4 linked regions of the Alligator mississippiensis genome follow. The protein of the gene in region 1 purifies or fractionates together with the protein of each later gene. This does not show direct contact. Links are inferred from orthologs where the notes say so. Each region holds a gene or a part of one and is shown on either strand. Other genes may lie near its edges. The genes, in order: PRKCZ, PARD6G, LLGL1 and NIPSNAP2.

What was found.
Region 2: the proteins of PRKCZ (region 1) and PARD6G purify together in Homo sapiens (affinity purification with mass spectrometry; 6 studies listed by BioGRID and IntAct, counting the BioPlex papers as one, with this or other methods). This does not show direct contact. The link is inferred for Alligator mississippiensis from reciprocal best matches to the Homo sapiens genes PRKCZ and PARD6G.
Region 3: the proteins of PRKCZ (region 1) and LLGL1 purify together in Homo sapiens (affinity purification with mass spectrometry; 6 studies listed by BioGRID and IntAct, counting the BioPlex papers as one, with this or other methods). This does not show direct contact. The link is inferred for Alligator mississippiensis from reciprocal best matches to the Homo sapiens genes PRKCZ and LLGL1.
Region 4: the proteins of PRKCZ (region 1) and NIPSNAP2 purify together in Homo sapiens (affinity purification with mass spectrometry; 3 studies listed by BioGRID and IntAct, counting the BioPlex papers as one, with this or other methods). This does not show direct contact. The link is inferred for Alligator mississippiensis from reciprocal best matches to the Homo sapiens genes PRKCZ and NIPSNAP2.

Annotation. Positions count from the first base shown.
Region 1 is NC_081836.1:13,357,460-13,364,542, reverse strand, and holds the start of PRKCZ (protein kinase C zeta type), read right to left. Parts: upstream 3,015-7,083; 5' UTR 2,926-3,014; intron 2,748-2,925; exon of another isoform or gene 2,727-2,747; intron 1,452-2,726; 5' UTR 1,319-1,451; coding exon 1,248-1,318; intron 1-1,247. UniProt on the Homo sapiens protein: Calcium- and diacylglycerol-independent serine/threonine-protein kinase that functions in phosphatidylinositol 3-kinase (PI3K) pathway and mitogen-activated protein (MAP) kinase cascade, and is involved in NF-kappa-B activation, mitogenic signaling, cell proliferation, cell polarity, inflammatory response and maintenance of long-term potentiation (LTP).
Region 2 is NC_081826.1:113,746,946-113,754,869, forward strand, and holds the start of PARD6G (partitioning defective 6 homolog gamma), read right to left. Parts: upstream 3,012-7,924; 5' UTR 2,692-3,011; coding exon 2,620-2,691; intron 1-2,619. UniProt on the Homo sapiens protein: Adapter protein involved in asymmetrical cell division and cell polarization processes. May play a role in the formation of epithelial tight junctions. The PARD6-PARD3 complex links GTP-bound Rho small GTPases to atypical protein kinase C proteins.
Region 3 is NC_081836.1:55,000,209-55,008,065, reverse strand, and holds the start of LLGL1 (lethal(2) giant larvae protein homolog 1), read right to left. Parts: upstream 3,014-7,857; 5' UTR 2,906-3,013; coding exon 2,825-2,905; intron 1-2,824. UniProt on the Homo sapiens protein: Cortical cytoskeleton protein found in a complex involved in maintaining cell polarity and epithelial integrity. Involved in the regulation of mitotic spindle orientation, proliferation, differentiation and tissue organization of neuroepithelial cells.
Region 4 is NC_081837.1:10,248,833-10,256,227, reverse strand, and holds the start of NIPSNAP2 (protein NipSnap homolog 2), read left to right. Parts: upstream 1-4,381; 5' UTR 4,382-4,588; coding exon 4,589-4,665; intron 4,666-7,005; coding exon 7,006-7,145; intron 7,146-7,228; coding exon 7,229-7,274; intron 7,275-7,395. UniProt on the Homo sapiens protein: Protein involved in mitophagy by facilitating recruitment of the autophagy machinery required for clearance of damaged mitochondria.

The sequences.
Region 1 (7,083 bases):
TTCTCAGAAAGGGTTGAACTGGATCAGCAAATACACCTAGATATAGTACATCTGTTTCTAAACACACACCATTCTGAATCAGTTTTGAAACAAAACCAAGCAGCAGCAAGTAAAAAAGAACAAACCAGAAACTTCTCTCTCACTAGTTTTTAGAGACCAGGGACAGCATTTCACTTCCCTTGGTGCATCTAAATAATAGTTTTCCAGTCACACAGGTAACAGTTTTGCCACTTATACACATTTTTCAATTTTATTTTCCCTGCAGTATAGATACACAAGCAGAATGAACATGCACAGTAGGCTACATGCTTCCTGGGTACACATGCCTACACGAGAATAAATCCCAGAAAAAGCAAGGAAGAGGAGGGTGGCCCTTTTGTGTTTCAGCTCAAGGGTTTGAATCTGCATCTCTCCGACTTCCCAGCACAGTGCCTGGACTGTTAAGGGCACATAATACTGAGTGTCTTCTCTAGAATACCTCTGAAGCTAGCCCTCTGGGCAGCCAACGGGGATGTGTGTGGGGCCAGGAGGAAGAAAGCAAACTTGTGTGCATTTCAGCTTTCAGATTACTGACACAAGGAAGGAAGCACCTTGCTCCCAATGGGGCAGAAACCTCCCCACAACATAAAACTGCTCTCCATCCATTTTACTTCATGACTATTAAAAGCAAGGGGCAGTGGCTCAGCTTTTAAAGGAACATTAAAGAGCCTAGTGGCATAGTGGTTACAGCAGTATAACTGGGCAGTAAGAAAGGTGGAGGATCAAACCTTCTCTGGGCAAATGGGGTCTAGAACACGAGTCTCAAGAAGCTGGAGTAAATGCCCCTACCACTCAGCTATGAGGGCTAAAACATAAGAAAGCCCCTTGTGATATAATTCATAAGTCCTGGAAAAAGCACATCTGGCCAGTATAACCTACTGCAACTCTCAGTCTAGAACTACAAACACTCACTGTAAAAGAAAACACAATTATGAACTGCATGTGAAAAACATTATTTATGTAGCTGGAAAACTGCCATTTAGATGCCTAAATGGAAGTAGAACTCCACCATAAACAATAAAGTAGCAACTGATTTAAGTTTATTTTAACACCCAAGAAAGTCTACAAACTTTGTACCTGGAATGATTTGTTAGTACCTGTAGTATCATAGATTTCTACAACTCTATAATCAAGTAAGACTACAGTGCATTCTGTTAGTGCAAACTGAAACCACATGCGATGTAGTGCTGAAAAACTGTTCAACTTACCCATTATAATGTGTTTTTACTCTGATGAAGTCTCTGTTCAGATTCATTTTTGATCCCATTCTGCTAGGCATGATACTGATAGCAGTCTAAATAAAAATATTTTGCCAGTGTATGGAAGAATCTTTCAAATCATTCAAAAAAGACAACTGATCTTGTGCTGAATTCTAATGAGCAGGTATAATTTCCAGCTGATACCCTGTCCATCTGCACACAGAAAAGAAAAGCAGCATATAAATGCACATACACACACAAAGAATTGTTGAAATACAACATAAATTTACATGTGCAGAGCCAAATCCTGGAAACCCCAGTCACTTTAAACCAGTGGCTCCCAACCTCAGGGCAAGACGTAAACCAGGGTCATAGAGGGTCCACGCCTTGCTCTGCCCCTCCTGCCTGCAGGGCTCTCTCGGTACATGGTCCATACGGCTCTCACCACCGCTACCCCCCCACAATCTTGGCCCGGCCTGGGCTCTACTGGCGCCGTCGGGCACAAGTGAGTTGGCGGTGAGAGCAGGGGTCATGACCTGGGTTTAAGGTCGCAGTAAAAAAAAATTGGGAGCCGCTGCTTTAAACAATACACCTGAGAAAGCAGTTGGACTGTTTACATCCATAGGGCCCTTTGTCCCGCAGAGGAATGACTATGAAATAAGTTACTGGTAGTAAAACTTAATCAGGCTAGTTACATTTTATTTTACACGATTATTCTGGTTTCCAGAAGATCAGGCCTCAAAAGATTCCTGTTTCCACCAATTAAAACATTCATCCAGCAACTGCATGGACAAAACAAAGCCGTGTCTGACAAGGGCGTTTTGGGGGTTTTTTTTTTAACCATTTCCTAATTAAACTTTCAGCCCTTTAATCACAAATAAAACACACTGCAAAGACAATCTTTTCTTAAAAGACTAATGGCAAGGATCAGATCCCCTTATTTACAAGTCTCTTTCCTAGGTTTTCTCTTCTTAGTCACACAACATTTCACTTTTCCACGTCCAAAGCAGCTTGCACACATGAAAAACACTGCTGTATCGGAAACCAAGGCTAGTTCCACCTGCAGCGAGGGAGGGAGGTAAATCGGAGGCACGCTGGGGCAGCTCGGGGATGGACACGTAGATGGACACTTCCCAGAACGACAGACACGGAGCGTGGGAGGGACCCCGGGAGGTCACAGCTCGTCCACCCCCCCAAACACTCACACCCCCAGCAGGACCAGCCCCACCCAGATTGGGGAAGACCCCGTTACCCCAGTTGGCTCCTACCCCTGGGAGCGGTGGCAGTTACAGGGGTGTATTTGGAGTCTCACAGGGGGCTGCTGTTTCCCACCGGAGTCTGGGCCACGTGGTTTATTCTGGCCCCTAGCCCTTCTGCCCACGGAAGGTTTCGGGGCAGCGCGGGGGTGTTTGTTTTTCGGGGGGGGGGGGAGGGGGGGTCCCTGTATCCAGGAAGGGGCTGCAGTTGTTCTCGCCCCTGCCCGCCTACCTGCTGCGGCGGCGGCTCCCGGCCCTTCCCGGGCAAGCCCGCCCCGCACCCCGCCCCGCCCCGCCCCGCCCCGCGTTGGAAGTTGCCCGAAGTCCCGTGAGGAAGTTGGGGGCGACCCCCGCAACCCCGGCCCGGCCGGCTGAGACAGCGGCGGCCGAGCCCCGCTGCCCCGCGCAGCCCCGCGCCGCCCCGCTCCCACCTCGGCTTGGCTCGGCTCGGCTCAGCGCCCCCCGCTCCGCGACTGCGGCGGCACCGGCGCCACTACTCCAAACATGGCGGACCCAGCAGGTTAGCGCCCACAACAGCCAATAGAGCGCCTCCCACGCTACCTGCCGGCCAATAGCAAGCGCCGGCCCACCTGGAGCCAATCCCAAGAGGGATCCCGCCCGCGTCTGACCAATCAAAAGCCCGCATCCGTTACCTGGCCGGCAGGGGCCATGCAACCAATGAAAAAAAAGGAGGAGGCAAGCGAACACCTGCAGCCAATAGGAAAAGGGGATGGGGGAACGTAGCTAATCTACTTAGTAACCGGGGCTGGATGGCCTCAGGGCCGTGGGCCTGCTGGGCCCTGGGGCTCCTGCTCGCAGCTCTAGGAGGGTTTTGGGGGCAAGGATCTCAAAAAGAGGGCAGCCTTGGTGTCTGGGGACTCCTGGCTTCTGCTTTCAGCTCTGCATGGCTTTGCTGCAGGCACATCACTTCGGTTCCCTGTCTGGAGCGCATGCTTGGAGTTGGGAGCGAAGTGAAGTCCAGTTTCTGAAGCACTTCAGTGTGTCCCGTGATAGAAAACAGGGTGTTATTTGTGTCATCACCTCTTGGGCCACAGATTATGGCCCACGGAATCGCTGTGGCAACAGGAGGCGTCTGTGGAAACCCACGCCTCCTCCCTGAGACTTGGTAAGCCTTGCACGTTCAGTGGCAGCTCCTTCTGCTGTGCAAGTGTGCGCTACGCTTTCACATATTTTTCTTTTATAATTTTAGGCCTTTTCTCTGCACTTTATATCTAATAAAAAGGGCAATTTGCTACTTTATATATCTTTATGTAATCAATTTCCAGGCACACTTGGAACAGCAGAGGTCACTGCATCCCTCAGTAAAAGTAACAGTTCCAAACCAATTAATAAGTTCATCAATGAAAAGAAGCCTCAACGTGCAATCAAAATAGAAGTTCCTCAGCGAGCCATTTTCCAGTCCAGTTCAGAAAGCACGTCTTCACTAGCATCTCCGCTAGTTTCGTGACCTCTTCAAGAAAATCCATATCTTTCTGTCCTTATTCATCTGAGCACAGGGGGCGGACAAACCAATAGACTGGATCCTGATCCATTTCAGCAACTGTTTTTGTTTCATTTAGACATCCTGTCTTTTGAAAAGGAGACACAAGTCAAACACCAAACAAATCTTTTAAATATATTTTCAAAGGAGGAAAACAATTGATCAACACACACAAAATGTGGGGACAGAGGAAGTGACTAAGAAAAACAAATAAGCAAGCAACATCACCAATGATTTAAAAAACACAAACCCAATACAAACCTCAAACAAGCAAAGGATGGTATATATGTACTGGTGATGCTGCTGGACTATCTAAATGTTTGTTATGGCCTGCATCTAAGATGCATCAAAGGAAACAAGCTGATCTCCCCTAGAGGTATTGAGGGGTTATAACTGCTAATTGAGATGGATAAAAGAGGTTTTTATTCTACTGCTCTTTCTCGTAGAGAACTTAAAGTAGAAATGAAGAAATGTAAAGCTTTATTTCCAGCTATGGCCCTTTACTTCCAGCTGTGCACCCAAGTAGTGGTGAGAGAAGCAAAAGAAGGTATAAACCACTGAGGCCTTGATTTGACAATCTTTATTCCTACTAAGCAAGAATTAGTACCCCTCCAATGGAGTCACCAGTAAGGTTTCAAAACTGTCCCTTAAAACTGTTTCAGTTTCCCTCTCTGGGCTAATGATACTTAGAGTAAGTTCTGCAGTGGCATGTGGAGGTACTCCAGCTAGTTCAGATAATGGGAACAGTCGCATCAAGGCCCACAAAAGCTAGTTTTACTTGCAGGGAGTAGTAGGCTGCTATGGCTGTCCTGCATTTGCTAGCTGAGCTAGCTCATTTAGATATCACTACACTGCGCCATGTCCAGTTATATATAGATTTACCTTCACACCACCTGATTTGGAAGTAATTAATTTAGCCTGTTAAGGTTTGGAAGATCTTTAGATGTAAAACTTTTCGAAGTAGCTAGCGTTACAATTTTTCTGGTCTGGGATGGGGTGAGGGGGGAGGGCAAAGGGAAGGGAATGTGATATCACCAGCCCCAAGGATGACTGTGATGCCCGCAGTGGGCAAACTACTCCTGCCCCAGTCCAGCCCCTCAGAGTACCCTTCCTTTTTCTGCTATACCTTGATGGATATTATGGCACTTAGGAAGGCTGTCCCATGGTTTTAGAGTGACCCTCAGTTCATTTCAGCTTGCTGTTTAACGAGAACCCTAGTACTACTTGCGCCCAACTGGTAGTTGTCTTGCACCTCAGACACTAAATGGTGGCACTCCTAGCTGTATCCTTGCCTTAGGGAACAATGTGCTTTAGGGGCAATAATCCTGGCCCTGTCTCAACCTCTGTTCCCAGCATGAAATGATGCTGCTCTTTCTCTCTCATCCACCCTTGGGTCCCTGCTCCTTACAGGGACTTATGCCCTGGGCCTGACTCAGAACTCCTATGACCTTCAGACCACTCCCATAGTCACAGTCCAAATCTCTGGTCGAAACATAAGCATCTGCTTCAAACCAAAACTTGCACCCAATTTTGGGTCATTACCCCACAGCAAGTCATGCTCCCCCTTACTGTCTCCCGGCTGCCTAGAGTTCTGCCCCTTTTTCTGCCTAGCTCCAGGATACGCACTCCCAGTTGCAGCTTTTATCCCTGTTGCCTCTGAGTTGCTTGCTTTCTAGCAGCCGGCCTTTGCTCAGCTGCCACAGTAGGCCTGGTTTGCTGCCCTTTCCCCTTAAAAGTAACAGGAGCCTCCAGCTCCCTGTTACAGGGAGAAATGTCTCCCCCATCACATCTTGTACATAAAAAACTACCATGCATATTTACAAGACTTTAAAAAGCAAACTATTGATATTATAAATGTATCACTTTACGGGTTTCTTTCATTGATTAATATAGCTTTTATAATTTTAACAAAAATGTCTCAATTGTTACTGCTTTGGAATGTTTCATTAAGTGCTCACTATTTTTAAAATGTATTCATTTCTTATTAGATGCTCCCCATGCCTTTGGAAAAGGGTAGGCAGATGGCTCTTTTTGGATATGATGTCCGTTTTGCTCTATGGATTAATTAACAAGGTTGTAATAGGTTTGCAAGCGCTACATATTGTAAGATCATTGTACCTGGCATATTATTTTTGAAAAACAGCCAACTCTGGTTGGCCTAAAGCCTGAAATCCTGAATATGTCCCCAAACCTGATTTTTTTCAGATTGTAAAACATTACGTTTTTCATATGCCATTAAACTACCTTCAGCCTAATAAATTGGTAGTTGTTATATGAGGGCCCACTACAATTAAAGTTAAAGATCTGCAGATATTCCTATTACTAACACTATTTCTGAGAGGCTTCTAACTCAGTAATTCCAATTTGTGCTAGGTTGAAATAAAGGATTCAAGCCCTGATCCCACATTTAGAAAGAAAAAGGTGGGTAGGGTGGGTGGAACCACTGGAAAAATGTATCTTTTATTGATACCTGATGTCCTCTTTTCATATTTAAGAGCACACCAGAAATTGAACTGGTCCTTTTGTGAGAAAAGAAAAAATTGGAAAAATATATTCTTTGGAAATACTTGAGTTGTGTTTGAAAAGTAGCTTTGATCAGATCCAGCACAAATATGAGAGTGCTGTTTAATGCAGCATCAGCAAATCTGTGGAATCTAGATCTTTCTTTCCCTTTCCTATGTGATGAATTGTGATTGAGCATGCAAAGGAGTAAGTTCAGTGACAAAACCACAGGTTGGTAACAACACTTGATGCCCATCTTGCTGGGGTCTGATCCCAGCAGGCTTTCCTGCTCACGTGCAGGCGGGGCTGGACCTGATGATCTGTAAGATCTCTTCCAGCCCCTAACAACTGTGAAACAGAGTCAAAGAATATCTTTAAGTGTGGTAGCAATTGGCACTGTAGCCATGAGGGTTAGCTGCAATACTCCTTGACCGAGTAGGATGAGGCCCTTGTTGGAAAGGAATTGTTGGTGGGTTCTTGCTATTTTAAATTTTTGAGTAGTTCAGACTTGCTTGAGCTGATACTAACCAAAGGCCTGAAGTAATGCCCACTAAAGTTCATTATCAAGTTTCTTGATGAGCTGGAC
Region 2 (7,924 bases), on another chromosome or scaffold:
CCAGGGAGATGAGCGACGCAGTGAACTTGCTCGCTAGCATGGCGCTGCATTGGATCAAGCGTTGTAAAGTCGAAACTGATGTCATGAAGTTGAAACAGGGTGTCAATTTATAAACGTTGTGAGCACGAAACGTAACTTGAAGTGTTGTAAGTCGAGGACTGCCTGTACTGTACTGCACAGGTATTTACCACATCAGACGCATGGTGAAATGAAGGTAGTGAGGTTAAGTGATCTGACCAAAGTCACATGGCAAGGCAGTGGCAAGACCAGGAAGAAACCCTAGTCCTCTTTAGCCTCGATTCTCAGTGATTTTGGCACCAAACTCCCACTGAAACCAACAGGTGCTAGGTACCTAAAATACCTCTTGAGGACCTGGCCCCTTATGCCAAGTACTTTGACAGTTTTCTACTGTTCCACAGTAAAGGTTCTCAACTACGGCTGGAGAGACAGCAGAATTACTTGCAATCGTGCAGAATCTTGCTCTGCAACTCACTTCATGGATTTTTATTTATTTATTTCTTCTGGCTTTTTTAGTTTACTATTACTTGGGAACCGGAAGCAGCTGGAATTCTGTCTCATGTCTCAGTATATATTTAAGATGGATGTAATTTACTTCTCATTACAAACACCAGCCCTGTCATTGGCTGCCTTGCTCTAAGGCAGGCAGGCAGGCTTGCTCAAGTTCAACATTCCCTAGGGGGCCCTTCAGAAAGCCATCAAGCTAGAAGGGATGGGGGGTAGGGCAGATCAGGATGCACATAGCAAGGGTCTCGTCTTTCCAAAAGAAGGTCCAGAGGACAACGTGCAGCTTCTTAGGAGTTGAACTTTTTTCCCCAACAAAGGGGAAAAGAAAGAAAGGGAGGGGGGAAATCACCAGATAATCAGATGATCACAGAAACCCAAACAAGTTTAAACATGATTGCATGGCTGAAGATGTGAAGCAAACATGACAGCACTGACTCAGGCTGAGCTTGCTTAAAGGAGCCTGAAAAATTGGAAGAGCAGAGGGGCGGCCGCTGCTAGACCCGCTCAAGATAAAAGGGATCCGAGGCAATTTTGATGAGTTTCCTATAAAAAGTCTGTGTGCGTGTCTCTGTATGGGTGCGTCTGTGTGTGTGTGTGTGTGTGTGTGTCCCTGTCTGTGCATCTGTGTCCCTGTGTACGTGTCTCTCTCTCTCTCTGTGTCTGTCACTGTGTGTCACGTCTCTCTCTGTCTCTGTGTGTCACTCTCTATGTGCATGTCTGTGTGTGTGTGTGTGTGTGTGTGCGCGCGCGCGGTTGTGTATGCGCATGTTTCTCTGGGTCTGTGAGCGTCTCACTCTGTGTGTGTGCATGTCTCTCACTGTACTTGTCTCGTGCTGTATGTTTTGCTGTGTGCCTTACTCTGCGTGAGTCTCTCAGTGTCACGCACTCTCACCGTATGCGCGCATGCACAGCCGTGTGATGCACGTGCCTCGCACGCACTCCCACCATGTGCGCATGCCTCGCGCACTCTCAGCCTGTGCGCATCTCACTCTGTGTGTGTATGTCTCGCTCTCTCGCTCTGTGTGCATCTCACTCACTCACTGTCTGTGTGCTTGTGTGTCTTGCTCTGTGTGTGTGTGTCTCACTCTCTGTCTGCATGTCTTGTTCTCTTGCTCTCAGTCTGTATGTGTGCATGTCTCTCGCTCTCTCAGTGTGTGCGTGTCTCTCGCTTTCTCTCACTGTGCGTCTCTCGCTCTCTCGCTGTGCGTGCATCTCTCGCTCTCTCTCACTGTGCGTGCGTCTCTCGCTCTCTCTCACTGTGCGCGCGTGTCTCTCGCTCTCTCTCACTGTGCGCGCGTGTCTCTCGCTCTCTCTCACTGTGTGCGCGTGTCTCTCGCTCTCTCTCACTGTGTGCGCGTGTCTCTCGCTCTCTCTCACTGTGCGCGCGTGTGCCTGTCTGGTCTGCCTTGTCAGGCCAGCCACAGCTACCTTGCGGGCATTCCCCGAAGTCCACACTCAACTCCTGAGTGGCTGTGCACAGCCAAACAATGGCCGGTTTACATAAAAGCTGGCAAACTTTTTTCCTGCTTGCTCTGGATCCAAGCCACTGCAACAAGAGATTGACTTGAAAGGGAGCAGAGTGGAAAGCTGCAGCATTGCGCCCCCAGCCCAGCCCAGCCCAGCCCAGCCCACCCCCTCTACCCCCTTTCCCTTCAGGATGAATCCGGCTGCGACAGAGCCTAGTGGGCTTCCAGCCCCTCAAACCCTCGGCTTTTGTGCCTTCTTTTGTGCCAACAGCCCCTGGCCACCAGCGCGCTGCCCACACAGCACAAACCTGCCCTGCCTGCAAAACTGGACCAACAACGTCCGGGCGCCCCAGATATTCAGGCAAGCTGCTCTGCCCGCCAATGCAAGGGGCGGAGGGGTAGGCAGCATCCCCCCAGTCCGCCCAGGACAGAAGGAGAGCAGCTGCCACCCGCAATCCCCTGTGCAATAACTTGGGACAGACTTTCCATCAGGAGAAACAACGACCAAAGAAAAAAAAAAGCTCGGGGGGGTGGGGGGGGGTCCTCCATTCATTGGCAAGGAGGGGGAGGAAGGAAGGAAGAAGGAGCTGCTGCGTCCCCAGCCGAGCTCGCCCCGCGATCTCCTTACCTTACTCTTCACTTCCACCGCGCTGCAATCGGGGGAGCGCAGAGTCTGAGACTTGTTAAAACTCCGATTCATGTTTCCGGCCCCCCGCGTCTCCCCGCGGCCGCCGCCTCCTCTCCGCCCTCGCTCCGCAGGGGCCGCCGGCCCAGCTGCCTCCGCCTGCGGGGAGCGCCCCCGCCCCTGCCCCTGCCCCTGCCCCTGCCCCTGCTCCTGCTCCGGTGGAACGCGGCCGCTCCGGACGTTCCAGCCTTTGTCCCGCCCGCCAATCCGAGCGCCCGCCGCGCTCCCCGCGTTCCGCTCCGAACAATCGCTCCGCCGCAGCCCGCAGCGCGCCCGGGACTCAAAGGCAGGGCGGGAGGGAGGCTGCCCGGCCCGGCCCGGCCCGGCCCGGCCCGGACCACGCCTCCCGGCCGGCCTCCCCTTAACCCGCGCCCCTTCCCTGGCCGCGGGAGGGAGGCTCCTCCTCCTGCCTCCGGCGGGTGCGCTTGCAGGGCTACCCACGGCCCTTCTTGCTGGCTGGAGAAGCTGCGGGAGGGGGCTGGGTACGTGAGGCGGCGTAATATAGGGGGGTCTCGACTTTTTTTGTACCGGTAAACCTGGATGCAGGCATGGGCGAACTCAGCAACTGCCTGGAGCCCGGATAGAAAGGGGGGGCCCGAAAATGGGGGGGGAAAAATTACAGTTGCAAAAAAAAGTTTTAATACAGGTTTCCCTCATTTTATACTGTACATGCCTTCCTGAGAAGCAGCGTGTAACTTGAATTTGCATACAGGGAACCCACTTTACAATGTAACAAATAGGGATATGTTCCAACATGGGTGACTGGTGCCTCTTGAGTCAGGGGGGGCATGTCCCGTCCCCACAGCGACCAGTCAGGGACTAGATCTTACTGTGGAGGGAGGGGGTCCCCCCACGGCTGGTCTCACTCACCAAAAAGCAGCCATGGAAGTGGCTGTGGCTGCTTCTGCTGGCGGCCCTGCTCCTCCACCAGCACTCTTGCACCACCTGGAAGTGCAGCTGCTTCACCTAGCAGCCCTGCTGCCTGGCTGGCGCTCGCAGGGGGGACATCAGTGCTCTCACCTGGCCTCCCTGCCCAAAGCTTGAAGTGGCTGTCGGGGGGACCACCAGCACTCTTAGGGGGTGCACATGCACCCCTTACGCGTCGCCACTGTGTTCCAAGACCTCGACTGTACTCACCCCCAATCCGATTCCTACCATTTTTACAAGACAATCTTGGTACTCACCAACAGCTACACAGGGCACTATCATAATGGGGATGGCAGCGATATAAAAGTGTTGTAGCCAACGAGCAAGGAGCACAGAATCACACAGGAGAGTATATTTTTGGCATGGGTCACTCCCACAACACAGTGCACAAAACGGTGGTTCCAGCACACCGATCACACAAGAGTGAATTTACCTCATGTATAACAAATTTTTGGTATAAAAAGGGTCATTGCATAAAAGTGAATTGGCACATATAGAACCTGCATAAAGTAAGGGAAACCTGTATTGTGCATATACACAATATGGTTCCTTCCCTCGGGAACCAGCAGCGGGAAGGAGAGGAGCCAGGCACACGTGTGTCCCGCACGCACGTGTGCCCCTTTTACCAACTGACTGACCAGAGGCGGTGGCGGCGGCAGCAGCAGCAGCAGCAGCAGAGGAATCGGCAGCAGGGGCAGCAGCAGCTGATCCCCCGAAGGTAAGTGGGGCGGAGGGACCTGGCGCAGCTGAGCTGGATCCGGAGGGGAAGCCCCCCGGGTCCCATATAGCTGAGCCGGTAGGGAGCCGCGCGGAGCGAACAGAGCGCGCTAACAGGCGTGCTCTGTAAGAGCATGCCGGCGTTTGCGCAGGTGTTCGCGCTGGCGGGCAGGCAGGAAGGGCCAGGAGTGAGACTCCTGTAGGGGTAGGGCGTAGACACCACACAGATCTACAAACAGCAGCTCGGAATGGTGTCTACGAGGAGTGCTGCTAGGGCCTCTGCCCAGGGGGACAAGGCTACCTGGGGCTGGTCTGAGGCCTCCACCCAGACCGAGCCCATGGGGGAGCTGATGTCCCCCTACCTCCTGGCCTGTGGGGGATCCCCAGCAGGGCCGGGGGGGGCAGAGATTGGGGGCCCCCACACCTGTCCGGCAGGTGCCCGTCTTAGGGCTCTGGAGGCGCAGGTGAGGGAGCTCCGGGAGGAGGTTAGCAGGCTGAGGGGGATCAGGGAGGCGGAGGATGAAATTGACAGTTATTTCCTTTCCCTGCAGGCCCAGGCACTCAAGGAAGAAGCAGCCCGGGGAGTGCCCTCCGGAGCAGAGTGGCAGACGGTCACAGCCAGGACCAGAGCAGCTCGCAGCGAACCGGTCGGTACCAGCTTCTCCAGTCCGACTGGTGAACAGGTACGAGGCCCTAGCGACCCTGCAGGAGATGGAAGGGGAGGAGGAAACCCTTGGGCAAGAAGAAACACCACGTTCTTCACACTCCGAACAGATCAAGAGATCCACGAGGACCCAGAGGAGGAGGCGACGAGTGCTTGTCATAGGCGACTCCATCCTGAGAGGCACGGAAGGACCCATCTGTCGCCAGGACCCCTTGGCACGGGAGGTATGCTGCCCCCCTGGAGCAAAGATTCGGGATGTGACGGAGGTAATCCAGGCCAGGATCAAGCCCACCGATTACTACCCCATGGTCCTAGTCCATGTGGGTACTAATGATGCGGCCAGGAGAACCCCCGATCACCTGATGGCGGACTACAGTGCTCTGGGTGGCGTGCTGAAGGAGTTCGGTGCACAGGTGGTTTTCTCCTCCATCCTACCAGTGACCGGACGAGGAAGACGGCAGGAGAACTGCATCCGAGAAACCAACTGGCGGCTTCGGCAGTGGTGTCTCGAGGCAGGCTTCGGCTTCCTGGACAATGACCCGCACATCACGACGAGGGACATGCTCAGCTGGGATGGGCTTCACCTGTCCCCCAAAGGTAAGCATGTGTTTTCTACTAGGTTGGCGGATCTCCTCCGGCAGGCTTTAAACTAGGCTCGTTGAGGGGAGGGGAGTATGAGGGCAGGGGAAGCTGTGGACCACCAAACCATGTGGCACCCACAAGGACAGCTCAGCCTGAAGAAGGAGGACATTGGAAACCTGAAAGCTATGGGGAGACCAGCACTACAGAACAGGTAAGAAACAAGAAGGTAAGAAACAAGAAGGTAAGAAACAATGGGCCCCTTGGGACTCGGAGCGGGGGGGCAGCAAAGGCGCCAGTCGCAGGGCTCAAGTGCCTATATACTAATGCTAGGAGCATGGGGAACAAGCAGGATGAACTAGCGCTCCTGCTTGCACTAAACACCTATGACTTAGTGGGGCTAACAGAGACCTGGTGGAATTCATCCCACGACTGGGCGGTACATATTGAGGGCTATAGATTGTACAGAAAGGACAGGTCGGGGAAGAAAGGGGGGGGGGGGTTGCACTTTATGTCAGTGACCAATATACATCAACCCTCATCAAGACAGAATCCAAAGTTGAGGAAGTAGAAGGATTGTGGGTTAGGCTACATGGGGGGCAAGGAGAAAGGGATTTGGTGGTAGGGGTCTGCTACAGACCCCCACACCAAGGGGAAGAAATAGATGCGGGGCTCCTGAGGCAACTCTCGGAGACCATAAAAGCTAAAGAGGCGGTAGTCATGGGGGACCTAAACTACCCGGACATCTGCTGGGAGACACAGACAACAAGGTCCCACCGCTCACGCAGGTTTCTAACCTGTGTACAGGACCTCCACCTGACACAGGAGGTACACGGTCCCACTAGGGGGAATGCCATACTGGATCTGGTATTGGCAACAGGGTATGACATGACAGGGGACCTCCAGATCGGTAGCCATTTGGGAGACAGTGATCACCTAATAATAGAATTCAACATAAGAGGTCGAGTGGGTAAGGTAACTAGTAGGGTGAAAGTGCTAGACTTTAGGAAAGCTGATCTCAATGCACTCAGGCGATTAGTCAAGGACACACTGCAGAGTAGGAGTTTTGAAGGGATGGGAGCCCAAGAAGGGTGGCTGTGCCTAAAGGAAACGATCCTTCGGGCACAAAGCAAGATGATCCCCGAGCGAGGCAAAAAAGGGAAAGGGGCCAGGAGGCTTCCATGGCTGACCGGAGAAATCCAGGGCAGCCTAAGGGCCAAAAGGGGAGCACATAAAAAGTGGAAACAGGGTGAGATCACTAAAGATGAATATACCTCCTCTGCTCGTGCTTGTAGGGAGGCAGTTAGGCGGGCCAAAGCTACCATGGAGCTGAGGATGGCAACCCAAGTAAAAGACAACAAGAAATTGTTTTTTAGATATATTGGGAGTAAAAGGAAGGCCCAGGGAGGAATAGGACCCCTGCTAAATGGGCAGAAACAATTGGTGACAGACAGGGGGGACAAAGCTGAACTCCTCAACGAGTTCTTTGCCTCAGTGTTCCTAAGTGAGGGGCACGACAAGTCTCTCACTGGGGTTGTAGAGAGGCAGCAGCAAGGCACCAGACTTCCATACGTAGATCCTGAGGTGGCACAGAGTCACTTGGAAGAACTGGATGCCTTTAAGTCGGCAGGCCCGGATGAGCTCCATCCGAGGGTGCTGAAGGCACTGGCCGACATCATTGCAGAGCCACTGGCAGGAATATTCGAACGCTCGTGGTGCATGGGCTGAGTCCCGGAGGACTGGAAAAGGGCTAACGTGGTCCCCATTTTCAAAAAGGGGAGGAAGGAGGACCCGGGCAACTATAGGCCAGTCAGTCTCACCTCCATCCTTGGTAAAGTCTTTGAAAAAATTATCAAGGCTCACATTTGTGAGAGCCCGGCAGGGCAAATTATGCTGAGGGGAAACCAGCACGGGTTTGTGGCGGGCAGATCGTGCCTGACCAATCTAGTCTCTTTCTATGACCAGGTTACGAAACTCCTGGACACAAAGCTATGGGGAGAAGTGGACACGCTGGAGGGCAGGGAACAGCTGCAGGCAGACCTGGATAGGTTGGACAAGTGGGCAGAAAACAACAGGATGCAGTTCAACAAGGAGAAATGCAAAGTGCTGCACCTAGGGAGGAAAATGTCCAGCACACCTACAGCCTAGGGAATGATCTGCTGGGTGGCACAGAGGTGGAAAAGGATCTTGGAGTCCTAGTGGACTCCAAGATGAACATGAGCCGGCAGTGTGACGAAGCCATCAGAAAAGCCAATGGCACTTTATTGTGCATCAGCAGATGCATGACGAATAGGTCCAAGGAGGTGATACTTCCCCTCTATAGGGCGCTGGTCAGACCGCAGTTGGAGTACTGCGTGCAAT
Region 3 (7,857 bases), about 42 Mb from region 1:
AAATCACTGCAAAGCACCTCAACAATGGGCAAATGTGGGGCTTCTAACTCACGCCCAGGACCCCTCTTCTTCCCCAGGTCAAGATGCTCATGATGCAACACAAACACCCAAGAGCACAGCAGCCCCGAGGCTGAGAGATGACCAACGTGCTCCCCGCACGGGTGCAGCAGCCTTTGGCAGCCTCCAGATCTGCAAAGGCATCTCGTCGCCCCATGTGCTGGGTCAGCACCCACCACACGCAGCCCTCAGGTTACCAGCCTTCATCCAGCCCTGCCTCTGCCCTACTTTGGGGATCGAGCACCAGTCACAAAGACACCTGCTCATCAGGAGACCAACTGCAGCAACTGGAGAATGTCCTGGACCCCGTGGCATCCCAGAAGGCCAAGGCCATGCTTCCAGGAGGCAGCTGGGGTGGAAGCAGGTATCCAGGGCAGGCTGCTGTGCAGCTGCAGCCCCATCCCCGGATAGAGGCCGAATCGACCCATTTCTGACAAGGACAGCGGCCAAAACCCCCCCTTGTCAGAATTAGCCGCCGGCTACTAGCAGGGTCCTTGAGAGATCAGGCCAGCAACCGACCTCTGGGACCGGGAGCGACACAATAACTCGTGACCCAGCAAATCTCCCCTTGCCATGGTGCAGGACTTCTACCGCCAGCTGCAGACGACTCATTAGCCTGCCCGCCCTGGGTGCAACAGGGCCAGTCAGCAGCTCGACAACACCAGCCAACCCCACAGGACCAGCCAGGCCAGTCCCGGCTCCAGGCTCAGCACACGCTCGAGTCACAGCAGCCCAAAGCACCAGGCCCAGTGGATGCTCCACCTGCCCCAGCTGCAAACCTGGCAGCTGGCACGCAGCACCGCTGGAGTGAGCAGCTTGTGGGGCCAAGGGAGCTCAGGAGCCCCCAGCCAGCTCCCCGCTACCTGCCAGCTCGATGGAGGCGGCGTCCTGCAGTGGAGCATGCCACAACTGGTCCCACGGTGCTGGCTTGGCTGCAGGGGGCTGCTCTACGGGGGGACGGCTCCCCAAAGCATGACATGCCTGGGAGGGGAGGCTGCTGGCAGCCACCACGGCTTCCACATGGAAACCCTTGCAGCAGCTTGGCCCTTCTCCATGTGCAGCGGGGCCCAAAACCCACCAGCTTCAGCCCCATGCAGAGGCACCTGCATGCTGGGGAGCCGAGGCAGGAAAGGCGGCATGCACACACGGACTAGCCCCCTGCTTCCTGCAGGGCTCCTGCACCGCCTCCCCGTGCCACGCACCCACACACCCCGAGAGCGAGTCCACAGCCCCTCTCCCCAATAGACGGTTGTGTCCCAAGCCATGCACAGCGATGCACAGCGCTGCTGCAGGCTCCCACGCAAGCTCGAGGGCAGAGAAGAGAGCAGCCTCAGCCGTTTGCCCCCTGCTCCCCGCTGGGGTCCGCAGAGGTGCCAGGTCTGCTCGTTCCCAGCCTTGCTCAAAGCCAAACAGCTTTGCTTAACAATGGAGACCGACAGCAGCAGGGAGCACAGCCCAGCACTTCCCTGCCCTTCTCCGGTCACACCAGGCACTTGGAGGAGAGGAGCCCCCTCCCTGTAACAACCCCATCTGGCTCCATCCCAGGACAGGCCAGAGCTCTCCCACGTGCTTCGAGTCCGAGCCACCGGGGATTGGCAGGCCCAGGGGGACCGTGGTGGAGCAGGGACCCCCCTACCTGGGCCACAAGCTCCTTGGGGCAGGTGGGACCTCCTCACGCTGGAGCCCGCGAGGAACAGGAGCGCTGGCATCGGGGAAGGGAAGGCCCTGAGAAGCCTCCTCTCCTAGCCCAGTCCGCAGCCCGGCTCCTGGCAGGCGAGCCGTCCCACACGGGCTGCCGGCACGAAGCGCAGCCCCGGGCTGGGGGCCGGGCACCAGGGGATGCCTGCAGGGGCCCTGGCCGGGCAGCCGTGGGGAGGGGATGCACCATCGTGTCCGGGGCTCACTGCCGTCCCCACGGGGCCTCTGCGAGCAGTCAGGAGGCAGAGGTGGGCGAAGGCCGGACAGCCAAGAGCCGGGGGCCGCGGGTCCCCCCAGCGCAGCCAGGTCGCCGCTCCAGGGAAAGAGCCCAGAGGGCTTGCTGGAGGGGGCAGCCCAGACAAAGGGCGCAGGCTGCTGACGGAGGAGCGCCCGGCACCGGGGGCTATACCCTGCCCGGAGCGAGGGCCACATCCCGCTGCCCCAAGGCCCCCGGCCGCGTGGGGACCCCAACCCAAGGGCCGGGCAGCAGCCCCCGGGGCCCCACCGTCCCCTCGCCCGGGGCCGAGGCTGGTTTGCTGGAGCCTGGCACAGGGGCTCTGGGCACCCGAGAGGGGCCGGGGTCGGAGAGGCGGGGAGGGGAGGGAAGGGGCCGCACAAAGCCCGAGCTGTGGCTCCAGCCTCCCGCTGCTTTGTGAGGCCCGCGGCATGTGTGCCCCCCCACACGTGCACAGCCTTGCACGCACGGCCCCCCTTACACACGCACTGCGCCCCCCTGCGTGCACACCCCCCGTGTATGCACACACACACACTACACACCTCCCTTGCACACACACACACTGTACACCCCCCGCACATGCATATGCATGCACACCCTCCATACATGTGTCCTGGCACACCCCCCGCCCTTGCACGCACACTGCACCCCTTGCACACCCCGCCCCCCCTGCACGCGCACACACACACTGCTTCCCGCCGGGTGTGCAAGCCTCGTCCCCACCACCGCTTCACCCCCCCCCCCCAACAGCAGGGAGGAGGATGCACACGTACCCCCCCAGCCCTTGTACACACACACACACGCACGGGGGAGGGGCAGGGGCGGGCGCGGCACCTTGTTGAAGGCGAACAGCTCCTGCTTGATCCGGTCGCGCTGCGGGTCGTGGCCCCCGCGCCGGAACCGAAACTTCATCATGGTGCCGGCGGCGGGGCTCGAACCGGGGCCACGCGGGGCGGGCCGGGCGCGATCGGACTCTGCTGCCGCCTCGGCCGCGCGGCGCCCTGCTGGGAGGGGGCGGGGCGGGGCGGCTCTTTTCAAGGGGCCCGCGGCTGAGTGACGCTCAGGGCAGCCAATCAGCGATTCCCCCTGCGGGCCCCGCCGACCAGACAATGCGGGCGGCGCCGGGCGGCTCCCCAGGGAGGGCGGCACCGCCTCGTGCGCGTGCGCCGCGTCCGGCCCGAGGCAGGCTGGGAGATGTAGTTTCCTGCTGCCAGCGTTGCTCTCGCCTGCCCCCTGGCGGCGGGGCGCGGCGCTGCCCTGCAGAGGGCTCAGAGCAGCCCTGGGGCTGGGGGGCCCCGCCCTGCCACCCCTAGGCACATGCGGGGGAACAGCGTCAGTGCCCACACCGTCTGCAACCCCCCAGTGATGGGCACCCGCAATTTATCACCTAACCCCCAGCTGGGGTCTGGGGGTGCCCCACGGTGCTGCAAGGAAAAGCAGGAGGTGCCTTCAACCCCTTGCAGCTGTGGGCGCTGGGTTCGTTCAGTCACCCCCAGGTGGAGGCACAGCTCCCTGCCAAAGGGCGGTGGGGAGTGAAATCCATGCCCGCCGTGCCCCCACTGCCCCCCGACTCCCGGAGCAGAGGCCGTCTTGCTCCTGGAGCCTCTGGCACGCGATAGGGCCATGCAGGAGCTCCAGGGAAGAAAGAAGAATCCAGGCGGGATCGTGCCCTGGTCCTTAGACGCGGATAGAGGCCCCGCTGAAGTCCTTGCCCCTGCAGTGCAGGCTCTGTGCGTCTCCCACCTGCCTCCGCCCCGGGCTCCCTGGGCAGCTCCCTCCGGGGGTGCATCCAGCAGCACCCAGGGCAGGGCACGGGCGTCCTAACCATGGGAGGTGAATGTGGGATAGGGATGCCCCAGCCAGCAGGGTCAAGCCCGAGGGCAAGCGGTGCCACCTATCCAGATGGGTACAGGGCCTCTAACCCTGAGACAGTGGGGGGCAGGGAGGGTGCAAATTCGCACCCCAAGTGGTTGCACCAGTGCTGCCTCTGCCTGGGCAGCGGCTGCCATGTGGGGGAACCCCCATAACCCTGGGGCATCAGGCCGGGCAGCGGGCACTTTGGGAGGGTGGGAGCACCCAGCAGTGCACCCGTGTAGACCAACCCAGGGGTGTTTCCAGCGGAGGGGGAAGATATCAGCCTTTTTTGCACCTGGGCTGCCTCCAGCTGCCCTGCAGGCCCCGGCATGGTGCTTAGCGCCCCCCGGGGCGGCCGTGGCAGGGGCTGGGGCAGGTGGCCCGCTGCAGGGGCAGGCCCCGCGCCTGGAGATCCACGTCACCGTGCAGTGGAAGCGAACTAATGAGAACCATTTGCATCCAGAGCAAAGTACAGCACTGTTGGCAGCTGGGCCAAACTCTCCCCTGGTGTTAAGCTGGACTGGCCGGCATCACCAGACAGGCTGGCAGCCGTGACACCGCTGAGCCAGGAGCTGTCGGATGTCTAGCGGAAACCCTCCAGGACCCAGCGCTGTCCCGTGGGGGTGCAGGCCCCCGGGGCGAAGGCAAGGGCAGTAATGAGACACGTGGCCTCATCTGCCCGAGTCACAGCCAGGAAACACTGAGTCAGGCCCTCCCGACCGGTGGTGCATGCTGCGTTTGCTTGGAGGTGTGCGTGGGCAGGGCCCGCTCTCAACTCGTCTGTACAGCGCCGTGCACACAGCTGGGACAGAAGCAGCAGCAGGGCTTGGGGATGTCGGCATTTCCTGGGGCTCCCGTCAGGGCATCACCCACCTGTCCCCGGCCCCCACCTCCTGCCGCATGCCCAGCCCCGGCTGGGAGAGCTAGTTGTGATGAACAAGCAGACGAACGAGCTGGTGCGGAGACAAGGCGCGGGGCCGGGAAGCCGTGACTCACCCGGCTGGGGCACGGGGCGACTGGTTGAGCCGCATGTCTGCGCCTCTGCCTCCGGCTGCAGGCAGGGACCGTGGGCAGGGGCAGGGTGAGGCTGGGCACGAGGGCAGGGCAGGGTGGCACCACGCCCAGCTTCTGCCCCCAAACATGATGCCCTGACGGGAGAAGAAAGAAACTGGCTCCGCACCCACCCCAGCCTGGGTAGCAGCTCATCACACACACACACACGCACACACACACACACACACACACACACACGTCCCAAAAGCTTCCCTACACACAAACCCTGTTGCCCCCCCGCACACACTTGCCATAAAGACAGACAAATACACACACACACACACACACACATGCGTGTGCACACACGCTCACCCCCAGCTGCCATGAAGGGCCCCCCCACTATCCCATCCCATCCCATCCCAGGAAACAAATCAGTCCAATGCTGACGGCTTCCAGCACAGCCACTCCCAGCTGCTCCGAGCCGTGGGCCAGGCCTGAGAGACTGGCTCAAAAGCCGCAGGCTTTGTGCAATAGTGATGAGGATAATGATTTATGATGATGATTGTTACTGTTGTTGTTATTATTATATTACTAAAACACTGCTATTCTTTGCATCCTGGTCCCCAAGCCTCCCGGGGCAGCTGGCCAGCTCTTCCCAGCACCCGGGAGGGCTGGGAACTCCCCCGGTTCTCTGGCATCCCCTGACTCCTGGAGCTGGGGCTTTAAGGACCTCCTGCAGATGCTGTAGGAGCCTGGATAGGGCCGATCAGATCTGGCATTTCCCCTTGAATTCAAGCGCCCGGCAGCGCCTCGCTATAGCCCCTGCCCTGCAGTGACATCAGCTACCAGCCGGGCACCGCGCAGCCTGGGCCAATTAGCACAGTGGGGTCATTACAGAAGCTGGGAGCCCCATGCTCCCAGCCTGAGCTCCACAGCTGGAGTAGGATGGAGCTGGGGTAAGCGCCCATGTGCCTGCTCTTACCCCGTAATAATGCTCCCGGACCATGCACCGGTGGCTGCGTGCCAGTGACCGCAGCAGGGGCTCAGCCAGGTGCCAGGGGCACTGCGGACAGGGCAGAGGACAGGACCAGCCCCATTCTGGGGCAGGGACGTGCATGCCGCCAGCGCTCTCCGGGAGCCCCCAGCACCTGCTCTCAGATCCGCAGCTCATTTCCATCTGCCGCGGCTGGGAGGAGGGCGCAGCCCAGCTGCAAATTCCCCGCGGTGCACAGGGTTTGCACAATGCATCGTGAGAGCTGCCAAGAGCACTGCCCTCGCAAGCAGCGGGAAGCCCCGGCGGTGCAGCTGCAGCACAGCCAGGCCAAGCTCAGGGCGCTCGGCTCAATGCCGGCCGCGCCTCGGGGCTCAGCAGCCTGCAGAGACCCCGGGCTCCTGGCCCCGAGCACCTGGCTTGCCCGGAGCCAGGTTCGTTCTCTCCGGGCCCCTGCTCCATCACCCACAGCTCAGGCTGTCCCCCCCTGCCCGCCTGGCTCTGGGGGTGCCTGCCCTACAGCACCCTGCTCAGCACCGGCCTCAATATTGCCATCGGACCCCTCCTATACGTCTCCAGGCACCACGTCCCGCTGCCCCCGGTCCCTGCGAACTGGCAGCCAGGTCTGGTGCCACGGGGCTGCTGCGGGGGCACGACAGGCTGGTGCAAAGCTGTCCCTCCAAGCCCCCAGGACCCAGTCCAGCCCCTGAGCACGAGGCTGTGCTGCCAGGCTGGTCTATTCCAGCCTCCTCTGGGCTCACACGTGGGCCAGGCCCGTGCAAGACACGGGACCCAGGGCTCCCCCACTGCTAGAGGCTTTGCTTATGGTTTAAATGAGCTTTAGCACATGAGACCGATGGTGGCTTGAAGGGCAGGGCAAGAAGAAGCCTCCTCCAGGGAGGCCGTCAGGATGCGGCCCCCTCGTTCAGGGCATCACGCTCCCCTCTGCGGGGACTGGCCCAAGACCCACCCTGATTGTAACCCCCTTGCAGGCTCTCGCCACTCCCCGCAGTGAACAACCCCAGGCGTGACCGAGCCGCCACCATCTTGGGACCAGCCCCTCTGCCCTCACTGCCGGCCCCAATCCTGCATCGCCCTCCCACCCTCTTGGCACCTCTGTCCCAACCCTCGTGCCGTTCCCTCCCTGCCCGGGCTCTCATGCGCTTGCATGGGGATGGAGGCGCATGCGTCCGCCAGGTGCAGGAAGCAGGAGGCAGCGCTCGGGTATTTTTGGAGCTGCCAAGAATAGCCGCGGTTCTGGGCCAGAGCGACGCAGCTGCTGCTGGAATTTCCCTGGAAACCTGCAGCCCTCGGGAAAGCAGCGGGGCGGGCGCTGGCCGCCCGGAGCAAACCCGGCCCGCGTGCCCAGTGGAGAGGGTGGCTGGACCTGGGCCCTGCACCGGGGGAACGTGTGGGAGGAAGAAACCCTGCCTCATGCCTCAACCCCGAGAAGAGGCAACGGTGTGAGGGGCGAGACCATATGCATGGGGCTGGGGCACGAGGGTGCCCGTCTGCTGGCCGTACCCATGGTGCCAGCCCACCTCGTACAGGTTGTGCCGTCCCATTTGCTGCAGGGGATGAGCTCTGCAAGCCAGAGGTGTCTGTAGCAAGGAGCGATCGGGGAAAACCCGGAAGAAGCCAGGCCGAGCGCTCCTGGGTGATGGATGGGGACAGGGCATGGGGTCGTGAGACACGAAGCCAAAGGTCAGAGGTCTTTAATTAGGTCTCTGTGCAGCGGGAGGGGAGCAGCTCTCTGGGCCCCGTCCCCAGGACAGACGAGTGGGCGCTGGTCAGGATGCTCTGCCGGCGAGGGGAACACGGGAGTCCAGGCATGGGGGGAAAGACCGGAGCCCTCCTTAACTGCTGCTAGGGGCCGACACGCACGTGACAGCCCCAGAAGCGGAGGCATTGCCCCCGCCGGTGCCTGGGGTACGAGCCTGGGCTGCCTTGATTGTCGTCACGTGACTGCGGCCACAGGAGAGTCAACTCCCGGCAGCCCCCGGCTGTGTTACCCCAAACTGGGACACGG
Region 4 (7,395 bases), on another chromosome or scaffold:
ATAAGTGACAATTGTCTTCATTTAAACTGCGTATTTTTTCTGGTTCACCACGCTGAAGTTGGCTGCTTTATTATTAGACATACTTGTGGAAAGGATCCCATAGAGAATTTGCCAAGCTATGCCACTGTTTCATTGTAAGTTTATGCTAAGTCCAACCCAGCACTGGTTGAAGTCAGTGAAGTTTTGTTACAGTACAATAAAAGCCACATTTCAAGGAAAAATTAGTTCTTTATAATTCAGCTAACTTCCAAAAACAAAGGGAAAGTGGATATGTATTTAACACCGATAAACTGCAAGATATATCCCTTTAAGCTGCCAATAAGTATCCGGCTCCTGACAGACAAGTTACAAAGTACACACACACAAGAAAATGTTGTGAATGCAGTGCTGCAAATGAAATTAGAGATGTTTAGAGTCTTAATCTTCTAATAAGAAAAGCTAATTAAGGTGCCAAATCCTGCTAAGAGATACAGGGATTGATACTCTGAAAGCTGTAATGCAGAAAGTTCAGTCTGTGGCGACTGGAGATTAAAGCTGACTTTGTGCTGCTGGAATTCCAGGCTGCCTGGAGACCTGAGCACCCCTTGGCAGGTGATAGAGCAGGGCTGTAGGGCTCTGCTGCTGTGATTAATAGCAATTTCTATGCTGAAAGCGCAGGGACACTCTCTTCCAGGACCTAGACTTAAGGCTTGCAGGCTGCATGTGTTGGTCCTATGTTGATGCCATAGGAAGAACATACCAGAAAAGGAATCTTCCTCTATATAGGTGCATAGATTTTCCTGTGTATATCCTGCCATAGATTTTTATTTGCAGCCCAAATAGGAGTATCGTGTCACTTGTGCCTACTTCAGCCTTACTCTATGGAGTTTAAAAGCCGCCCTCTAATTTATATGCCTTCCAATTAGTCCTTCATTCCTGCCCTACTAGGGCTTGCTCTGTAATTAAAAGCTTTGTCTCCCAAGGTTGCAGTGTGCCCAGTGCTGCACACTAGCTGTTCCGTAGCCGAAGAGGGATTATGCCTTTGTAGGTCTAGCCCTTTGTTTTAGTGTCCTTTGCCTTCGTTAAAAATGCCTGAAATCCAAACAAAACAGTTTATAGTTTACGTGAAACAAAACATTTTTGACAGGAAGTGACTATTTTTATTTGCCTCCAGAAAGCTGAAAAATGTTTGGGGTTCACCCAAAATTTTTTTTGTAATGATCTTTTTCAGTCTAGCAGACAAACCAGAAAATCAAGTGAACTGTAGAGCTGTGACTTCAGGCTGTTGGAGATTTAGCCTGGTGGTTCATTCTGTTCAGATCTAAATACGATAGTAACCCACAAACAATCTGAGGCAAGCTATTTTTAATAAAAAATAACTGTAATACTTATCAATAACGACCAAAGCTGCAACACCATGCTTTCGCATTTCATTGATACTGAAGGACACTGCATGCACATTTCTGGATGCGTCTTCACACAGTTTACAGTAATATCTAATCATTATGCACCCAGGAAAGTGAAACTCTTTATTTCACATTTAAAGTAAAAGTTAAGTGACTTGGGTTGCTGTGAACAAAAATTAAACTCATAGCAAGTCAAATTTTTCCATACCATTGGGCATTCAGGAGTAGCTATTAGGTGATGAAAATAACTCTTAGCCTCACTTAAATATCAGTGAGCACAGCTACAGAATAGTTATCTTAGCAAAAATGTTGCAGTGCTGTATATCGTTCTGATCTGATGTTGGTATAGTTTTCATTCACTAGTGAATTTGTCTTTCTGTATTTTCTTTCTGTACTTTACCAAGTGGCATTGATTCGGTCAGAACAAGGTCAGTTGACATCCTTGCTATTTGGAGGTCTTTTCCCTGGTCTGGAAAAATACCCAGCAAATAGATCTTTTACTGAAGCTCCTGTTGGCTGATAAACCAAAGGAAAGAACGGTCATGGGGACAGACCTGTGTATTCGTATCTTACCACTGCTGTTTCCAAAACGCATCTTTATGAGAACTAGTTTTTGTATAATTGATATCTACTGTCTACACATTCATTCATGTGCCATAATTATGCAGAAACAGATACTAACAATGCACCATAATCACTGCAACTGCGCATTAGCGTAGAGGAACACTTTTTAGGTGATGCTTAATGCGTATTGGATTAATCTGCACATTAGCATGGATTTTGCCAGCTGCGCTAACGCACAGTAGAATTAGTCTACCGGGCATTAAGCATCTTGTGTAGACGCACCTACTAGGGACTATGTGATGCTATTTATAATATAATCTTAAAATCCAGCTATTACTTCAAGGTAGTAATTTCTCATCTAGGTTTCTGTGTGTTTTTAGAGTTCTGCCCTTAAAAAGAAAACTTAGTTAAGAAAAAAAAAAGTCTTCTAAAAATGTTAGTCTCTCTTTTTTAAGGTTATTTTAAGAGGTAATGCTACTTCACACTGCGCGGGGTCTGGGTCAATTGAAGCCCTAGTGCTACTGCAAGAGGTGAAGGAAGAAAACATTACACCTTCTGCGGAGGGTGACTTCTCTTTCCTGAGGAAGGCTGCATCAAGCAACCCAGCCCTTGTTTTTTACTTGAAAAGCATTGAAGCCTTGAAGCTTATCTCTTTACACACACGTTGCGCAGGGTTTTGACCTAGACGTATTTCCCAGACTCCTGCCAAGTTGCTTCTTCCCAGCCCCAATGGCAGCAGGCGTACGCGTACGCAGACATTTGCACCAGCAAAGCAGTGCTGGCTGGTGCCTGGCAGTGCCCAACATTTGCTGGTGTTTTGCCCGTGACTCTTTCCCGGGTCTGATCCGTGGGAGACAGGCAGCCCCTAGCTCCCTGCTTCCGCAGTCTGTCGTGCAGGGCGATGAAACCTCTGGCGTTGGCACAGAGGCGATGCTGCATGGCTGTGGGGGGTGGGGGGGGGGTTGCTTTTTTCTTAGTCCCTTTGCGGGGCGGAGCCTGGCTGCCCACCGCGTGCTCCTCCAGCCTGGCCGGGGGGAGAGCTGGGGGCGGGGCCGGGGGCGGGGCTCCCCCTGCGGCCGCCCGGAAGCGGGGGGCGGGGCGGAAGCCGGAGCAAGATGGCGGCCCGAGTGCTGCTGCAGCCGAGCCTGGGGGCGGCCGGGCCTCGCGGCCTGGCCCTCAGGTGAGCGCGCCGCGCCCCGCGCGGGTGGGGATGGCGGGGGTGGGAGGAGCTGGTTTATTCCCCGCGTCGGCTCCCGGGCCCACCCCGCTCGCGGGGGGGGGTGTTTATTTCTCCTCGGCAGGAGCGGGTCTGACGGGCCCTGCAGGGCCTGGGGGCGCCGCTGGAGACGCGGGTGCTCATCGCGGAGGTCAGCCTGAAGCTCCCTTACGATCGGGCGGGGCGGGGCGGGAAGCGAGGGTCTGCTGGGGACTGAGTCGTGGTGCGCTGGGGTTGCGCTGGTGCGAAGTAGGGTGGCCATCGCGGAGGACGGTCCGGTTGTCCTCTGTTGATATGAAACCCGATGCCTTTATGTCCTCTATTTGTGTCTCCAAGACATAAGGCCGGGACTTGGGGTACGACTTGGGATGCTAGGCTGGGACCATTGGTACGAAACCCGATGCCTTTGCATCCTCTATTTTTATTTTCAAGAGAAAAACAGAGGACATAAAGGCATCGGGTTTTGTATGGATAGAGGACAGAGTAGTAGGAAACCGGGATGCCCCCGGCAAGAAGATGGGACCAGGTGACCCAGTGACCTCTTTCGTAGCAGCGAGCTACGGGATCCTGTTCTCCCCGTTGTGCCGAGCTAGGCGATGCCTTCCAAAAACCGCACCGATTGAATGTGACCTGCAAATTCACTCTGTACTAATTAGGGACACTTTGATCTAATTCCAGAAATGACATTTGGCAGCAGACGTTTCCTCCTTTAGAAGAGCGTTATTGTTCGGTTACACGAGGTTAAAGTTCAGATACTCTGTATGCTTTTTATTTTCTCTGCTTCTGTACTGTAACTCCAGAATCGGATTGATCTTTAAACTGGAATTTTGTTTATAATCCTATTATGTGCCTTATAATATTTCTGTTAGAGGAAATTAAAGCTGTTATTTTGTTAATGCAGATAATTGTGTTCACCTTTTCCCCCAACAAATTTTAAAAGGAGTTGTGGGTTAAATAGCCTTTTGCATCTGTTTTTCTGCCCAAACACAAGCACTTCAAAACAGTGGGAAACTCCTGATACCCCCTGGGGTGGAATTTATCTTGTAGTGTAAACATTTAGTTTTATCTGAAGGTAACTGCATTTATTCTAGAATAAGACATTGTCTTCCAGAACTATGGAACTACGCTACAAAATGTATTTTATTTTTTTTGAGCGTGCGTGTTTAAAAAGACATGATTTATCAGAAGATGTGTTGATTAAAAAATCAGTCCTTAACTGTCTCAAACTGCACCCATTTTCAGAAATGTCAGTGTTGCCAATCTCTGCTGGATGGGAATAACAACAGCAACAAAACAACAATAATAATGCCTTGTTTCTAAAGCACTTTCCAGTTCTTGGTTGAAAGATTCAGTGCAGCTCTAAAACATTACTCATTTGACCATTTCATTGAAAAACTGAGAAAACTGCCTCCACCCCCACCAAATGACTGTCCTAAGCTTCTGGCCACATCAAACCACAAATTCTGTGAATAGTGGTAAAGTTCATATACAGATAAGGAGGTAAACATGCTTGCTGAGCACTTTCATTTTCACTGTTTTACCAATATTATTACCCATTCCTCACAACACCTTCCATGAAAGATAAATACTCATTAACCTTAACTATGAGAGAGGGTTTTTTGGGGAGGGAATAAAGCAGGGTGGTTAAATGACTCCCCCCAAAATAGCAAAGGAAGTGCTTCAGGGGTGGGATCACAACTCATGGATGCCCTGTGAGCCTTTGCAGTGCGTATGGGGACAGAGAAGAGTACAGAACGAATGCATGTCTTCCAGCCCTCCGTGCCCTAGCAGTATTTCTGGTACAAGACACCCTTTTAAATATTTACTTTTAGGAAAGCTGTATAACTTCTACACAATAGAGTGTTTGTTTCTTTGGCTACAGTGAAAAAAAATTAATGCAGTCTCCAGTAAGTGGAGCACTGAGAGGTTTTTACTCACTTCTTTATGTTGAAGGTCACCTCGCTCCCAGTTGTTCTTTCCCTTGCCATCACGTGTTTTTTGCTTCCTCAAAAGCAAATGCCCAAATCTAGTCTGTATAAGTGAACTGCAAAGCATGTTAAAATAAATTCCTTTACTCTTGCTCTAAGATGCAGAAAGCCTACTGGCTCAAAGATTTTATGAAAGAAATTTATTTTTCCAATTTCTTTTTCCTTAATGATTTTCACTGCCTTTTGAGAACCTGAAAGACAGTAATTCATTTAGACCCGGGGCAGGCAGTAATTTTGGGTGTGGGGCTGCATACTGAGTTTTGGCAAGCCATCGAGAGCTGCATGACAGGCAGGGGCAGATAAATATTAATTTTCTAAATTTTTTAGGAGCCCCGCGGGCTGGATAGAATGGTCTGGCGGATCACATCCAGCCCGCGGGCCGCATTTTGCCCACCCCTGATTTAGAGGAACTCCCTGATAGGTCTCCCAGGCATTGATTAGAAGCAGGAGAGTTGTCCTCTGAGGCTGGAGGAATCAGTTGAGGTTTAACCCTCCGGTTGTGATGTCTCTTAAGCATTCCAAACTTGCCAGAATTATTTAGGGAAAAGGGAAGAGTGAGGAACAAAATACTTCTAATGGTGACAAGGAGGAAAAGTACAGTATAAAGAATCAGCATAAGATGAATGCTTTTTATTGTTTGCTTTTCACTTTCAATGCAAGCTCATTACTATTGTTGTGAACTGAACTAATGAATCACATCTGGTAGCTGAGGTGGCCTTCTGCCAATTAGAAAAGAAAAAGTCCCTCTAGTGTACTCAGAGCATGATTACCTGTTATGTTTTTATTGTTTGTTGTTGTAATAAAGTCATAAATAGCTAATTTGAGTGTATCAATTCTGTGAGCACTCAAACATGCTATTCAAGCTTTCATCCATCAAAGTCAGTGCAGTTGTTCCAGAGCAAGAAAAATTGTAAACTGAGCAAAGACAGTGAATCTGTATTCTGATCATTAGAACTGCTCTTACTCTGAATTAAAATCTATGCAGGCTTCAGGGCCCCTGCCACTCTTTAAGTCATTTCCAAATTAGCTTCTCTGGGGCGGTGCATTAGTTTGTCTTTTGCAAAAATTTATTTTATAAAATGCCATAACACACATGGTGTTTTTGCTGTCATTCACAGTGGACAAACCTGTTTATGCATACTGCCTTCTCTGCACCTCCTTTTTCCTGTTGATTATGGGTTTCTTGAAAGACCTAGGCAGGCAAGGTTCTTTGAGTAGAGGTGATATCTTTTATTAGACCAACTGAGTAGTTGGAAAAAAAATGTTGGCAAGCTTTCAGGCACAACAGTCACCCTTCATCAGGCATAGGGAGTCTCTCCTGTTCTGAGACTCCAAGAAATGAAAGACCTCCACATTGTGCTTGAGCAAAGACAGAGTAGCCTTAGTTTTCTCTCTTGGCACGGCTATGATCAGTGTAGGAACAGGCAGGGTTTTATGCCACATATTGTCTTGAGACCTGATATAAACTAGAACAGCTCCAGGATACTAAATGTGTGTCTGACTGTAGTAGTCCATGGGCCCGTTGCATCAACTAAGAACGGCTCTAGCACAGCAGCACTTCACCCACAGCTTGCTGTGCTCCTGCTTCCTCTGCATGCAAGGGGTGTAAGAGGGGCAGTGTTAGGCCAGGTAGAGCAGTTCTGGGCCATCCAGGGATGTCTTTACAGTAAGGATGTGCTTTGTTGAGTACACATGCACCTGTTGCATTGCTAGAGATTAGATAATAGAAAAAATTAGCACCATACCTTTGTATAAGATACAATGTGACTGATTTAAACTTATCTCAGCTGTTTTCAACAATCCTCACATTTTGAATGAACACTCAGTGACTGCATATTCCATTAATGTGTAGGGGACTGGTATCCTCAACTAACAGAGCCGGTGAAGACAGCTGGTTAAAATCACTGTTTGTTCGCAAAGTTGATCCCCGGAAAGATGCTCACTCCAATCTTCTAGCCAAAAAGGAGACCAGCAGTCTGTATAAAATACAATGTGAGTGATGTTTTCATATTTAACAGTTTATTTTCTTTATTCCTTTCCTGTATTTTTCATTGACTTTTTTGGGTTTTTTTCAGTTCACAATGTAAAGCCAGAATGCTTAGAAGCCTACAACAAGCTTTGGTAAGTGTGCATGTTATTCACTGTGATTTTGGACATATTAATTTGTTCTGGGGGAGAGCACTGAAAGCTGGCTGGTCTGGGTTGGCTTTGTTATGAGAAAGTGGAAACCCCTGTTCTTACT